Drosophila melanogaster: one gene and its partner. The gene in region 2 interacts genetically with the main gene of each other region. Each region holds a gene or a part of one and is shown on either strand. Other genes may lie near its edges.

Region 1 (8,089 bases), about 10 Mb from region 2:
GGGATCGGGATCGGGCAGTACGGACATCGAGTTCTGGCCCTGTTTTTCTGGACGGGAAGTGGCGAAGGCGCCGCCATGCTGTGCCTCATTTAATGCAAGGTAAATTGCATTGATTTCGTGATTTTTTTTTTTTTTTTTTTTTAATTTTTTTATTATTTATTGAATCTTCCCTTTGTGTTAAGAGACTAACAATAAGTGTTCAAATCTTAATCTAACTTAATTAACTTTCACTTAGTGATAGTTTTTTTTTTTCATTAATGCCCTAATAAGTTTATTGCTGGGCTGGGAGGTCGTTGCGGTGCAGCCGGCTTTGACTGCATACTCGGATTAGTTTTCTTGCGAGGGGATTTGTATGGGTGGTCAGCTTTTCGTTATACTTCGCTTTTTTCTCAGCTATTACTTCGATTACTAATTTGATTTTTAGGTCTCTGTGTATGTTTTCGTTCCGAAGGTACCACGGCGCTCCAGTGATAATTCTCAGAATTCTTGACTGTGCTCGCTGAATAATGTCTATGTTACTTCTGGATGCGTTGCCCCACAGCTCGGAGCCATAAGTCCAGATAGGTTTTAAGACGGAGTTGTATAGAAGAGCTTTGAACTCCAGACTAAGTGGAGAGCGAGCATTTATGAGCCAGTGGAGGTTCCTTGCTTTAAGTTTAAGATGTTTCGATTTGGCTTCTATATGTTTGCGCCAAGTGAGCCGCCTGTCCAGATGAACTCCCAGATATGTTACCTCGTCGGCTTGTGGAATGCATATGTTATTCAAGACCAGTGGTGGGCATGTTTGTTTGTTTAAGGTAAAGGTAACCTGCTTGCATTTTTGAACATTTATTGAAATTCTCCAGTCGGCAAGCCATCGTTCTACAGATGTTAAGTGTCGGGATAGGAGTGCCGTGGCTTTTATTGGGCATTTCGAGCGACTGAGTATCGCGGTATCATCAGCGAACGTGGAGGTTGTTAGATTGTAGTCTATGGGGAAATCCGCCGTATACAGGGTGTATAAGATTGGACCCAGTACACTGCCTTGCGGCACTCCAGCTTCGATTGCGCAATCGCGTGAAGTGCTTGTATCGCATCTTATTGCAAACACTCTGTTATATAGGTATGACTTCAGTAGCTTATGTGTGTTTTGGGGCAACAGCTTGATTATTTTAAACAAAAGTCCATCGAGCCACACTCTGTCAAATGCCTGCGCGACGTCTAGAAAAATGGCTGTGCAGTATTCTCGATGTTCAAAAGCAGTACGAATTTCTGACGTGATTCGGTTGACCTGTTCGATGGTTCCATGTTTTTCTCTAAAGCCAAATTGATGTGTTGGAAGTGTGTTGTTTATTCTAAGATGAGGGCTAATCCGAAGGAGTAGCATTTTTTCAAACAGCTTTGAAAGACATGTTAGTAAGCTTATCGGTCTATATGATGATGGCTGCGTTTTATCTTTTCCTGGCTTTGGAATCATTACTATGGTCGACTTTTTCCATTTTTGAGGGAAGTATCCAAGCTTGGCGATTGCGTTGAACAACAGGCAGATGTGAAGAATAGCACACTTTGGGAGTTCAATGAGCATTCTTGGAGTTATTAGGTCGTAGCCAGGCGATTTTCTTGGGTTCAGTTGCTCTTTGATAACCTTTGCTAGTTCACATGGTCGGAATTCAAAGGGTTCTTGAGGATCTAGATTGGCTGCTATTAAAGGAGGGAGAATAAATGTGTTGGTAGAGGGATTTGGTCGGAATACATTTTGTAAATGGTCAGCGAAAGCACTGGCTCTTTCTTCATCACTTCGAAACCAGGTGCCAGAGGGACTTCGTAGTGGCATAATTGGCGCTATTGGAGTCTTTAGGTTTCTGTGAGCTCGTGATTAATGAGAGTTTCGCATTTCACCAGCCAGTACACGGCAAGAAAAAATGGCCGGGACAAGAGAACCCAATTGATTCCGGTCTAAACTGATATGGAAAAGTGTCTATAAAAATATCTTACTTTTTATTTGATTGATTCAATAGTTTGAGATGGACTGATGAGATTATCGCCTATTCTTCAGAGAATGGTGTTCAAATTGACATGGTCGATCGCTAAATTAAAAACCTTATGCTTCCCCCAGTGTAATGTGCATGTGGACTTACCCTGATTGTTGTTGTTGCTGCTCTTGCGGGATGTCTTCTTCTCCTTCATCCAGGGATACTCCGGCACCGAGTCCATTCCATCCGGCGTTTGAGGGACAACGCCAACCGGATATCCGACTCCGACGCCGACATTGACATTAACGTTGACGCCTACTCCGCCAATGGCGCCGGATCCAACAGGTGTTCCGATTTTGGGACTCTCCGGACTCAAGTGGTTGAGGAATTCAGCCATCGACGGCTGCGAATTGATGAACCCGCCCTCGGATGCTGTCATCCAATAGGCCGTGTCCGCGCTCCGTTTATCACAGTTCGGGGTCATCTTGTTGACCATGAGCACCGACGGCACAGGTGGCACCCCCTGCTGTCCGATACCAGGCTGACCAACACTCACTCCCACGCCACCCACACCACCCACGACGCCCGCACCACCGCAACCACCCACTGGCAGGGACGTCTGTCCAGTTTGCACCTGCAGCGGGTTGAGTGGAGATTCCGATTTGATTTGGGTGCCCATTGAGGTCGTGTCCAAGGAGCTGCAGACTTCTTGCATAGCTTGGGTATAATTTTTTTTAGATTCTTTCTATTTCAATTCCTGAGCGTATTAGATGTTCCTCAGCTTGGGAACCTGGAAAGGAAAGCCATTTTTGTAATCTCATAATAATGTTATCACGATTCAGTTCCCAGGAAGTTAGAGGTTTCACTGTTCTTATCGAATGTGAAATTGAATAATGTATGTATATACTTCATTAAGATATGTTATCATTATCTTCATTAACCTTTTAAGAAACAAAGACATCGTCACTTTACTATGCTATTCAATGTTTATTTTATTATTATATTTATAATTTTTGAATTTTTATTTATATATTTTGAATATATATAATTTCAATATAATGTACGTATATACTTCATTAAGATATGTCATTATCTTCATTAACATTTTAAGAAACAAAAACATCGTCACTTTACTATGCTAATCAATGTTTATTTTATTATTACCGATCCAATTTTTCACATTGCAACTGTCAAAAACTTGACTATTTTTAAATTACATATTCCAATTTATATTTCATTAGTCTCTCAGTTTTCTGTGCCAGAAATTCATTTGTAGTCTGCATTTTTACTATTGCTCTTATAGAAATTGTTAGGCCTTCACTTTAAATTTATGGCCACCTAATTTCGATTGAGATTTGACAATATGTATTGTATGTATGTACAATACATACAACCTGTCCTACAATGTTACCTAAATTGGCTTGGTTCGCATACATTATTTTACATTATTTTTTTAAGGATTAATAGTCAGTAAATAAATTAACATATTTTAAACAGAAAAAGTTATAAAGCTGTTACATATCCTCATCTAAGAAATGCCGCATAGCTAATTTCCTAGGAAGTATAAATGAATAAGAAAATTCGAATATATTTTCCGATTCCGCCAATTAAAGATTTGAAATATTTCTTGCAGTAAACATTTTGCCGACTTAAAAGGCTCGTATTTTAGACTAACATGTTGTATCAAAAACGAAATAACGACACGCTTTGATTTTCTCGTGCTTTAAAAGGATACACTTATTTTTAAATGTAGGTAAGAAATATGTGTAAGATAATTTCGTACCATATTAAGTTGATCATTTACAGACCACAGTATTCCATATTTCTCCTCTTACGTTGACATATGCGTTCTTTGTGGAAATTTCACCGGTATCACTTGGGTCACCGTTTTCACTATTGTCTGCACTCGCTCATAGTAACTGGCTTAACTTTTTGTTTGTTTTTTTTTTTTAGTTTCAACCGGCACAACTTTTGCGATGCGGGTTTTGCGTAAAACTTCAGTGTGTCAGGGCTTATCTGTGGGCCGCGAAAAGAGGCGACAACCGCGACGAGAGCGAGGGAACCCAGATCCGAATGTAAATATGGCCACCGTTGTGTTTGCTCAACCGTCAAGTGGTGTTTGGAGTTGGTTTTTCGCTTTCAGGTTGACATAGACACACACCTTTTGGCAGCCATGGCGACGCGAAAGGCCAACACAACCGACGAAACAACGGCGATAACGACAATAGTGCAAGTACGCGCTGTACAACGGTGCGTATGCGGAATGTGTTGATTTTGTAGAGTTTTGTAGAGTCGCTGCGATCGCTGCAATGGCCACACACAGACACACACTCAGTCGTTGCAATTCGTCTGAGATAGTTTTCTCCACTCGCACTCATACACATGTGGGCACTAGCTGTCCCTCTCTGGCCTTCAAGAGGTGCGCAGAACCGGGTTTCCAGGGGTTCCTAAAGTGCTTCTCAACCGTATAGTAAAACTTTTGGTTTCAACTCGTTTTAATAATATCACTTTTTAGTTTTCAAAATTTTTGAACTATTTTTGTAGCTGTCATTTTAATAAATATTATTTTTTAGATACCGAACCGATTCGTAGCGAGAGCGAGACAGAGGGCTTTTGGGGAGCTTCGTGCGGTTCCCGAGAGCTAGATAGCAGCCAACAACCATTCCATCCAATAGCACCGAACGCACTGAACTGGGATTTTGGGACCCAGTATCAAGGAGTGGCCTAAGCGACAGCCACCGCATCCATCACGCTTTTTCCTGGTCGGCACATGCGCGGTGCCATCTGGAAACTGGTTACTATAGCCATTACGCGCAGAGACCAGGGGGTGGAGTTCACACACACCGGCGCACAAGTCTCCGGCCCTCTGATTGGCCGGCTCGGCAGTTTGTTTTGTATCTTTGCGGTCGTGTAGCTCGGGAACCCCTGTATCTTGGGCCATCATTTCCGCGGCGTTTTCTTGCCTCATTCACTTTTTTCCACTTCCAACGCGAACGTGTTGCTTGTGACGGAATTTATTTGGTTTTTCTTATTTACACATTTCGCATCTGCTAAAAAATGAAAAGAAAAAGCCACAGTAGCGAGTTTCTCGCTCTCCGGCTTTTTTGGCTTTCGGCTATGGGTATTTTTGACATTTTGCTTCGCTCATCGCTCTTTTTGTTTTGGGCGCCTCTTCTCCTGTCAATCTTGGTGGCATTGCTTTTTGCCTTTTGGCCGCTTTTTCGCCCTCTTTTTGCTAACGTTCTCCAATCCAGTCCGCGCAGAGTTTGTAATTATGTGCGGATTTTAATGCACACGGGTGTCACTACAGGTGTAAAAATATTGCCACGATTTTGCACTGCAGCTGGGGGTGGTGTTCGTACTTGGACGCTCTGACGAACAAGTTGTCTGACAGCAGGGAGCTATGTGATCGGCAGTCTACGTAATGACGATGCGCACCATGAGATTGTTTAAAATTGTGAAAAAGATATATGTGTGAAAAATACAGAAACTTTGAGGAAGCATTAAGTAAAATAAAAAGCCAAGGCCATTCATTATAAATATCATATAAATAAATGTTTTAACAAGTCAAGCTTATTTAGTTTCTCAACTGTATCGCCCACTAAAATGGAATTTTGTCTAAAAATATTTGATTTGTCTGGTGGTGAAATTTTTGAAAATCGAGTCCGCAAAATGTATCCCCAAATGCTGCACAACCAGCATTTTTTGTTTGAACAAATAAATGCGCACATTAATTATAAAACATATTTTATTTCATCCAAAATAAGTAATAATAATGTAGTCACAGAAAGATATTGCTCGTATAATACAATGATTATATATGTATGTATGTACAGTTGCCTAAACATATAGTCAAAGATATATTTAAAAGTTCAACAAATTTTGAATAAAGTCATAGTCAACATCCAAAATATCCGACGATGAAGCAGAAGAGCTATTCGAGTCCCAGCAGAAATTCTGTATCATTGGCTGATCCTGTGTATTGTGTTCAATTACATTTTCTGCGATAGGAATCGTTGGCTCAAGGCCCAGCCATGAACTCGCCCAGTTAGCATCGAATTCATTGAAGGGCAGTTGGGGAAGAGCCATGGGCTCAGGAGAAAATTCATGGAGGTAATCGTAGCTCTGATAGGGTGGTGTAATTTGACCCTCCTCCAGGACACCGTGATCAACCTGCCGGAGTGGAGCTGTTTCCACATTTGTGTTGGCATATCGAAGGAGACGCTCTACGATCTGGTCGTCCTTTTGAAGATCTTCGCTCGACTGGGAAGAAAGTGGAATAGATGTGGTCAGCGCTCCAATGGCACCCTTCCTATTGGTCGACTTCTTGAGTTTCATGCGACGATTTTGGAACCAGATCTTAACCTGTCTCTCTGTGAGTGCCAAACGCTGTGATATCTCGATTCGCCTGGTTCGGGCTAAATATTTGTTGAGATGGAACTCCCTTTCTAGTTCGATTAGCTGAAGACTGCTGAATGCCGTGCGAGATCTCTTTGATTTCTCCGAAGACCTTGTTGTTGCCGTGGGAGCGGCTTCTACGTTTAACTCGACGCAAGGATACATCTATAAATATATAGATCAATTAAATCTTAGTTTTTATTTAAATAAGCAGTAATTTTTTAAATCCCACCATTAAATCACTGACTGAGTAATTGTCCACAAAATAGTTTTCGCTTTGAATGGCAAACATTTTTCTTGAAGAGCGCGATTTGTTGGCTTCTGACCGCTGTGGCCGATGTTTTTTAACTAGATACCTTTAGATTCTCCTTATTTGCTTATATACCCCAGAAGCCCTTCGTGACGGATCGGATTGGTTCCTACCTGTCCCGCCTGCGACACTTTCAAATTCCCAGACGGCTGGTCTGGGCTGGTAGATGTCGCGTCCTTTTGAGCCTGGCTCCGAATCAAGGTGAGTTCCAGGCTCCAGAGAAACCGACGTACTTCTAAGTAGCGTCACACGGAGAAATATTATTCAGGGGATATTAATGTTACGTCTGGATCTATTTGTTTTATTTATATGATATTATTTAGTTCGTCAAATAAATACTTGCAAAAAATCAAATGTAATATATTTTAAGATCTGAAACATTTTGTGATGAAAACATTAAAATACATCTCCATTTTCAAGGCACCTAAACGTTAACTCTTAGATAAAAATTATTTTAATTTTAAATCAACTTTAGGCCTACGAGATAGCTTATAGATAAATAATATTTCAGTATTGAGAAATATTTCCATTCTTATCCAAATAAAAACTGACTATCATTTGAAAATAAGTGTGTTCTAAGTTCACTTTGTCATCCAAAATATCCACTGATAGTCCTACCTACCTATATACCTACGGATCTGCCCAGCTTTTTTCATGCCTTCGAGACCCCAATCCCCCGGCCAGGTATGTTTTGGCCATGAACGGGAAAGGTCTTGGTTTTTCCCGGGGTTTTCCGCGTCAGTTATGAATATCTAAGGGTTGAGCTACCTGCTTAGCATTGCTAAGCGATCCGACCCTGATCCCTGATTGTAAAAACAGTGTCACTTCAAGCTAATCCAATCGCCCGCTATAAAATCGGTCATATCCCCCGAGCTACGTGCTATATAGCACAGATTTACGATCGCCCGGGCTTATGTAAACTAAAACTAGGTTTTCTGGGAGGGAATAGCATAAGTCCACCCAAAAACAAATCTCTCAGACGAGATTGTAGCCCCGAGTAGCCTATCAGATGATCCGTAAGATTCTACATTCTCCATTTTGGTACAATCTAAGTGGAGGACTTTACAGAAAGAGCAAATTGTAGATTTTACCTTAAATTTTATGATTTTATATACACAATTCAAGACGAGACTGCAAGCCAGCATTACTATAATTTAGTCAGAGCTCTTATGCATGGTTAAGATGTGAAGACAACTTGCAAGCCATTTGGTCGAACAATTTTGTGGTCACAACGGCAGGCCCCTCTGCTCCTTAGTGAGCTCAGATAAATTGGTGTCATCACATCATAAAGTGATTTCCAGCATATTGAAATTTTCTGCAGCTTTTCCATCTCGACCAGCGTGTTGTGTCACATGGAAAGGAGATGAGGACACTGGGATCATATTAGATTTGCCCTGTTTTGGGAACAATATTTCATCGTCAGCTGTCA
Region 2 (7,750 bases):
GGTCGGGTACTTGACCGGCATGTTTGAGTTATCGGTGCAACTTTCACGGAGTTTGCTAAATCAACATAGAAAGCGAACAGTTGCCAGACGTCCAAACCTTTGGCTTCAAAACCATTGGTTGCTTTGGATATTAGCCAGAAGATGACTCCGATAAACAATGAAATTATACAATGAATAAGACAAGGATGTGAGAACAAAGGTTGAGGGATTTATGACAGGACAGCAGGAGTCATGTGACGGCAGATTGCAGGCTGCATTTTACAAAGAAGGGTTTCCTTCAGCGGGTGAAAGTCGCTGGGTTGAGCAGGTAAATCATATTTTTCAAGGCCATCTAGGCAGGCTCTAAAAAACAGCATTTTCCGGCATATTCCACGGCCGATTAGTGAAATAACCCATTGCTTCAATGTCAGTCGGGATATTAACTTCAAGGGTTTCCGGTTAATTGCGGTACTTACCGTTGAAATCGCCACAAACGACACGCTCGAAGGGGCTTCCCATCCAGTCTGAAATTAAAAAAAGGAGGAAGAGAAAAGCAATTAATTTTCGGTTTTTCTTTGAGTTTTTTTCTAAGGAACTAAGGAGTTGTGCTTCTCATATGTGCTGCTAATGCGAAATTCCGCGCCAAACAGCCTTGAGAGCATCCCGCTGAGTAATGGAGCGTCGATCCCTCAAATCATATCTGTCCACTGCCCCCTCGGACATTTGTGCCACATGGCAGCTTTCATAAACCACTCAATCGGGCCGTTTTCAATTTAGTTGTCAGCGCCAGCCACAAAAAGCAGCATTAGCCGGCCCAATGCAGTCGGCAGTCGGCGGACCACCGGCCGAGTGAACCTCCGGCCAGTTGGACCGGCTCCACTTTAAGTAGACCACGATGGTCGGCCTGGAGGAGGAGAAGATGTCGGCGATATCGACGGAGATATGAGGAAAATACTAGTCAAGGCACTGCAAGATGGAGGGGAGAATGATGATGCGAGCCAACGACCAGACGGACTCCTCCTAATTAATAAGCAGATGAAGCTGCTCGGCATCGTTGGTGCATTTTTAATTAAAATACACAAATTTCTGGTCATTCGCCAGTCGTTGTTGCCACTTTATTTGACACACGGAAAGACGGACGGACGGGGCACAGACAATCTCTAATATGTGCAAAGATTTTGCAGGCCGAGACTTCTTTGTCGCACTGATGATTGTACAATTTATGGTGCAGACGTTTCTTATCTAGCCAAGTCAGTGTTCTGACTGCACATGGACGAAAATACGTTAATAGATACTCGGACCCATAACAAACTTCTAATATCAATATAAAATTCCAAAGTCTATTGTGCTGAATAACTAGGAATGTATTTTATAGGTTTACATTTCTGAAAAAAATGTTTCTTCAACAAGAATTTAATTATTTTGAGTCAGTAAATATATCCACGGGTTTTTAGAACCCACTGCACGTTTTCTGTCAGTGTGCCTACTTCTTAACCTTTTTGTGTCCACCTCCTCCTTTCTCCACGGAGCGTGCTGAGTTTGCGAATTCTCAATGTGGATAGCGATGGGAAACTTGCCATTTTCATGCTTTGTCGGGCTGCGCTTTTCCAGATAATTAAGAAAAGTTAACCTCTTTGCTTCTTATCAGCATAATCAGGTGCAGGCGCGCAGCTCTACTCATTTTCCAGCTTTTCCTGCGATTTCCCGCTGCTGCCCCCTTGGCAACATTGTTGATGTTGTTGTCGGAGTCGGTGCAACGATGTGAAAATGAAAATTCATTCAGACGCTTTGGCGTAAAATATTAAAATTCATTAGTTAAATTGCATTTGGCAAGCATTCAGCTGTAAAACGTTGCCGTTGTTGCAGCAATGGTTGTTGCAGTTGCTGTTGCAGTTGTTCATGTTGCCGGTGCGTCCGGGTCTGGGTCTTGGTCTTCGTCTGTGAGTTTTTTGGGTGGGTTCGCAGGCTTGGCAAAGTGAAAGCCAAACGAAAAGACTTTTCCGAAGGAGGCGAAGCGATTCTTGTGCAATCCACATGCAAGTGCATGGATATAGTGCCAAAACACATGCATATATACTTCGTACGTATGTATATACAGCTTTATGTACAGCATGTGCATTTAAGGAGTGGTGGATAAAGGGGGCTGCGTCGACGTGTCGCGCACTTGGCTGCCATAATGGCGTCATGCTCGTATTTACTTTCATCGCCGCCAGTCGCGTCTCTATGATCTCGTTGACAATTTTATCGCCTTGGCGCTGTGAGCGGGAGATATGCAAAATATTTCATTGTGCGAAATACCGTTTATCTTCCCAACTGGCCGATGCTTCGGGTTTTCTTTTCACCATCAGGTTTTGCCTGCAGAATGTGTGTATCTATTAGCTGGCCGGCCAAATACATAGGTGTGTTAGCCACATATTAATATCTTTCGGGGTATCGACGAACCAGAAACCCACTAAAATAGAGGAATGGATTTTTAATCTGCATAGATTAATAGGAGCGCTGGTTATCGATTTATTGACACCCAAATCTGGTCAAATATGTAAATTATGCTGGCAAAAAAAAAAAGACCGAGAAACTTTTGAACCTCTTTTCTCGATGATTTTAAGTTCTAATGATTTGACAAAATATACCACTTGATAAACATTGGACCCTTAAGCACACTACCTTGTTATCTCGTATTAATGCCATTATTTAAACTCTGTCTGCTAGATCGTCAATTAACAATTACTTATACTGTTTAATTAACATGCCTATGCCGTAAATTCCGCGTAAATCCGTCGCGCGATCTTTTTCTATTACGACGACCGATGTGCAGTCCATAAGTCAGGCCAATTGACAGTCTATTCATATGGTGTCTGCCATTAATCAGGAGGCATTCAACCCGCGGGGCAGAATGGAAAATTGAATTCGTTCAATTTCTTCTTGTGCAGCGTGGAAATCGAGTGGCCTGATGAGAAATGATAAATAAATCTGCTGTGCAAAATGCGCGGAAAAAGCGAGCGGATCGCGTAAATTAAACTGACCCACATAAATTTGAAGCGAGTTCGCCCGTACTACGTTAGCCGCATAAAAAGAGCGGCGGCCAAAAAGTATCTGTATCTGTATCTCTCGACGGATATGTGGATTTTGTATGCGCGGGGCACATCGCAGTGTTTTTTGGTCGGCATTTTGGGCTATACGTTTGTCGGTGTGGGGCAACCTTGAGGCTATTTAAATTACAAATCGACGCCAAATAACACGACAGACAAGAGAAGCATTTCTCAAACTATTTTCATTTTTATTTACTGCCAACTTTTTAGCTCTTCGTTCATTTCGTTTACGGATTCGAATCGCCTGGAAGACTTATGCGAAATAAACGACTTGGAAGTGCTCCGCAAAGTGTTCATTACGAATTGGAATTGTAGGCGAAATGGCGGTGCAAATGGGAATGCTATTGGGGAACGTTTGCGCCACGTTTATCTATTGTTTATAAAAGGTACGCAGCAACCATTCCAAATACTACACTTGGGAAATTTAATTCGATAATTCGACTGGACGCTTTTTGTTAGGTCATACAATTTGTAAATCAGTTCGAACCTGGTTTAAGTCTACGGGTTGTTAAACAACTTAGCTGTTTAAATTTTTTAATTATAGTATTTAACCTAACATAGCGACTAAATAATTCAATCCAATATAAGTTCTTACAATTTTTTATTTGATTTTTTGATTTCAGTGTAAGTGGCCATGATTTATATGTACACAAAAAATTTTAAGAGATCGCTTTGTAGATCTTGAAGGCAATTTATTCTTGATTTAAGACGATATACATTCCCTGAAGTGCACGGATTATTTCTGATTTTATAATGATTGGCATGATATATAGAACACAGTAGATACGATAGACAGACTCTTAATTTAAAAGACTGATTGATTGGCTCAGTGTGATAAACTTGTATTGGGATATGTGTGATTCTCAATTCTAAAAATCGGATAACTTTCAAGATTTATCAAATTTGGCACTCACATTCAGATCCGAAGTCTTTCACAAAGAGTCCGAATCTGGCAGTTATTTTTTTACTTATGTATAATATATCTCCGCACTATCGAGTATCGAGTTTTGACTCACCTGTAAGCGTCATCCAGGGATACCTGGGCAGATCGGCGATACCGGCTCCGCCCGCTCCCCCTGCCCCTGGCATCACGCCGGAGGCGGGCTGTGTGCAGGCATTTCCCAGCGAGTCCACGCCGATCGCGCCGGCACTGGCCGCGGATACCGCGGATGCGGCGGCTGTGGCATGTTGATAGAACTGAGCGAACTGTGCAGATGCCGAGGCAGGTACGCTCATCGACTGGTAGCTGTTCATGACAGTGTCCGTGTACCTGCTGTGGGTGTGGGAGAGAGAAAGTAGCCATTATTGTTGGTGATCCCTGCTCTCATAGTACGTTCCCAACTCCAGCGCCCGTACTAAAGTCAAATGCTAATGAGGTGGCCATTTGCATGCCCCTTTCACCAAACTGCGGTTAGCTCTAATTGCACACTAATCCCGAACACGCCCACGCACAGCAGGGTTCACTGTACATGCACATGGAGTGCCCATACAGTAGTACTAATATGCAAATGGCCGCAGCGGAAGGTCAGCGTGCGTGCGAATCTTGTGGCCGGCGACAAATTGCCAGCGGCCACCACAGGCTGCTCTAATTTTCCGACTTTATGGCCATTCAATATGAATGGCCGGTGGCCGAGAGGAAAATGGACAGAGTCCCAGGATCCGAGACCCGATAATTAGAGCGCATTCGAAACGGATTTGCGGTTTTGCAGTGTTTGCAGATTTTACTGAAGGTCTCGACTGGCATTTCCGCTCGCCAAATTGAGAGCACGCGAAATTAGTTCTTGGAAGAGCTGAGTGTTTCTTTTTTTTTGTATTTTCAACCCCGGAAACATCTTCTTAAAGGTTTTGAAGCCAGGTAAAGCTAATGGTCATACTAAATTTGCATATATTTTAAAATATGATACTGTCTGAGAAGTTCTATCAATGCACTCCAAATATTTGAATATCATATTAGATAGTATAGATCATTTGTCATTGACTTTATATTTGCACTTCCTATTAGGGTCATTTAAGATCATTTTACTACGATTGGACATAAAACCCATCCCGATTTATAAAAATCTGCATTATCCCATACTTAAACAGGGCAATCTATCTTACCTGCACGACTTATCCTCCAGTCCGGTGAAGCCGGCCATTCCGGAGAGCCCTCCATGGCTGCTAGGGTGGTTAGACACGTACGGATACATCTTGCTGGTGGGGATGGCAAACGAGGAGCTAGCCGCAGCGGCGGCGGCGGCTGCAGCAGCAGCGACGGAACTGGCCGCGGATGCGGAGGCGGACGCGGATGCGGACCCGGGAGAGTTGTCGTTGAGGCTGCGGTGTAGCGAGGAGCTACCGGATGCCGAGGGCGATGGGGAGCAGCTGCTGTCGCCCGCTTGAGAATTGCCCGCTGACGGGGGCGTTAGCAACAGTTGCTGGTGGGCGTGTCCGTGCGAGGCAACTGCGGCGGCGGCTAGTTTGCTAATGTGGTGTTGTTGCTGCTGTAGCTGAAGAGCGGCCGAGAGCGAGGAGTATTGGTGGTGGTGTTGCTGCTGCTGGTGGTGCAGATGTTGCTGCTGCTGGTGGTTCAGGTGTTGCTGCTGCACCTGTGGGTGGTGCTGCTGGAAGGGCGACGATGAGGAGACGGGTGAGTGGGGCGATTGGCCCAGATGTTGGCTCAAATGGCTCGGCGATAGGGATCCTCCGCTCAAATTGAGATTACTGTTGTTGTTGCTGCTGCTGCTTGGACTGCTGCTGCTATTGTTGGTGTTGCTTGTGTTGCTTCCAGCGATCGTGTTGCTGCTGTTGTTGTTGCTGCTGCTGCTGGCTGAAACGCTGGCGGATGCAGAGGCGGCGGCGGCGGCTAGGGCGGCGGCAACTGCTGCAGATGACGAATTCGGGGGGGTGGTGGTTAAGTGGTGCGAACTGATAAACGGCTGGAACTGTGGATACTTTGGCAGCATACTATCGAAAACAAATTTTGACATTGCACATATTTTGCTCTCTGGCCGAGGATCGGATCTTCGGAATTTCGTTTAGTCCACTTGTTGTTCTATTTTAGTTTCGGAGATTTCTGAGTTCGAATGATTTGGGTTCTTTATCTGAGTCGTTTGGTTAATGGCTAGATTGAGTATTTCGTTTTATAATTTAAAGTTTCCTCTTTGTGTGACTTTAACAAATTTTGTTTGAATTCAGCGTGGAGAGGAGCGCTTTCTAGCCATAATAAAACAAAAGTTCCGACTACTTCTGTAAGCACAACCTAAATCTTAAACTTGAATGACTTTATAATTCAACACTGTGAGAAATAGCATTTTAAAAATATCTTTTTCTTTAACTTTTTCATAAGATTTACACAGCAATTTAATTTGTATCAATGTCTATTAAAATTTACTTGTCTTTAATGAACATCTCCCGTCTCTGTATTTAACTTTTCTACTTCATAATCGAATGCAAACTACATTGGACTTAGTATATAAATCACTAACAAAATTAATCGAATTAAAAGGTACTAAAAACAAAAATAAACTTGGCGTCCAATGTGATAAACAAGAATTAAAAATGGCAAAACAAAAAATATAACATGTTTATAAAAATTACTCGGAAACCATAAAAAGAACATTAACCAAATTGAATATGTTTGGATTGAACATAAATCTTTCGGGTAGCATGATACAGAACTCAAGTGAAAAAAATATATAATCCAAATGCTTTATATATTTTTCAGCTAGATTTCCCTGCCAGTGCCAACGAGTTAGTATGTGGGTTACTTTTACAGTACTATATGAGATGGCCAACAGTTAGTACTTTTTAGATAGAGTTAGTGAGACAGAATTCGGAAACTTTGCCAGCTGCCCGACTTTAAGCTACTTTTCTCGATTCCGAGAAGTGAAATGCATTTTGTTACCTTTCTCAAGTTTTCTCTAGCGAACTTTTGGCGAGCAGCTTGTATTTGCAGCTTTTCTGTTTCTGTTACTTTTTTCGCTCGAAGCTGGCGAATTCACAACGAAATTTGTTAAATTTGCATATGGTCTCGGGTTGCGTTGTATTTGCAGCTGTGGCACAAGTGTGTGTGTCGCATGTGTGTGTTTGGGGTGTGTGTATCTTTTATTTGTTGTAAAAGCAATTAAAATGCGGTCATCAATTACGCGGAAATTCGAATGGACGTCGTGCCGGCGGGATTTCGTACGTGTGATTTATAGGCGCGCGATCTTTTTTAATGGCACTCTTGTATTTTTATGGCAGAGTGAGTTTCCTGCGGCTTTTAACGACTTCTCAAGTGCGTGAGTGTGTGTGTGGCCGGAGAAATGCTTTCTCCCAACGTTTTGCTTTAATTACTTTGTTTAAAATGTCATAAAACACTTTGCAGGTAGAACTATCGAAGTCTGGAACGGAGAGGCGAGAACCTTTTTACGATGTCAACTTTATGTCTTTTTAATTTTTACGAACCGCACACAGTGAGTTATAAACCATAGTGTTTTGACAGTTTTTTCGGTTTTAAATTTCACACACAATTTTATTATATTTTACGCGATCTATAACATTTAAGTGACAATAAGCCGGCGGCCGAAACGGAACAATAAACACGGCGAATCGGAAACTGAATCGTATTGCCGCACTACAGTCGTATAGTCGTATAATCGTATAATCCGAATCGGAATCGGAGGGCCGAAATTCCAAAGAGTGGAGAGCTGAGTTCCGCA

What was found.
Region 1: of abd-A (region 2) and pb, changing one suppresses a phenotype caused by changing the other (phenotypic suppression), as found in Drosophila melanogaster (one study listed by BioGRID).

What each region holds. Positions count from the first base shown.
Region 1 is NT_033777.3:6,737,433-6,745,521, forward strand, and holds the start of pb (proboscipedia), read right to left. Parts: upstream 4,632-8,089; 5' UTR 3,736-4,631; intron 2,743-3,735; 5' UTR 2,668-2,742; coding exon 2,118-2,667; intron 1-2,117. Other genes in the region: zen2 (zerknullt-related), read right to left, coding at 5,817-6,515, 6,583-6,642. UniProt on the Drosophila melanogaster protein: Sequence-specific transcription factor which is part of a developmental regulatory system that provides cells with specific positional identities on the anterior-posterior axis. Controls development of mouthparts, and labial and maxillary palps.
Region 2 is NT_033777.3:16,821,967-16,829,716, forward strand, and holds the start of abd-A (abdominal A), read right to left. Parts: upstream 6,140-7,750; 5' UTR 6,038-6,139; coding exon 5,169-6,037; intron 4,342-5,168; coding exon 4,085-4,341; intron 504-4,084; coding exon 456-503; intron 1-455. UniProt on the Drosophila melanogaster protein: Sequence-specific transcription factor which is part of a developmental regulatory system that provides cells with specific positional identities on the anterior-posterior axis. Required for segmental identity of the second through eighth abdominal segments.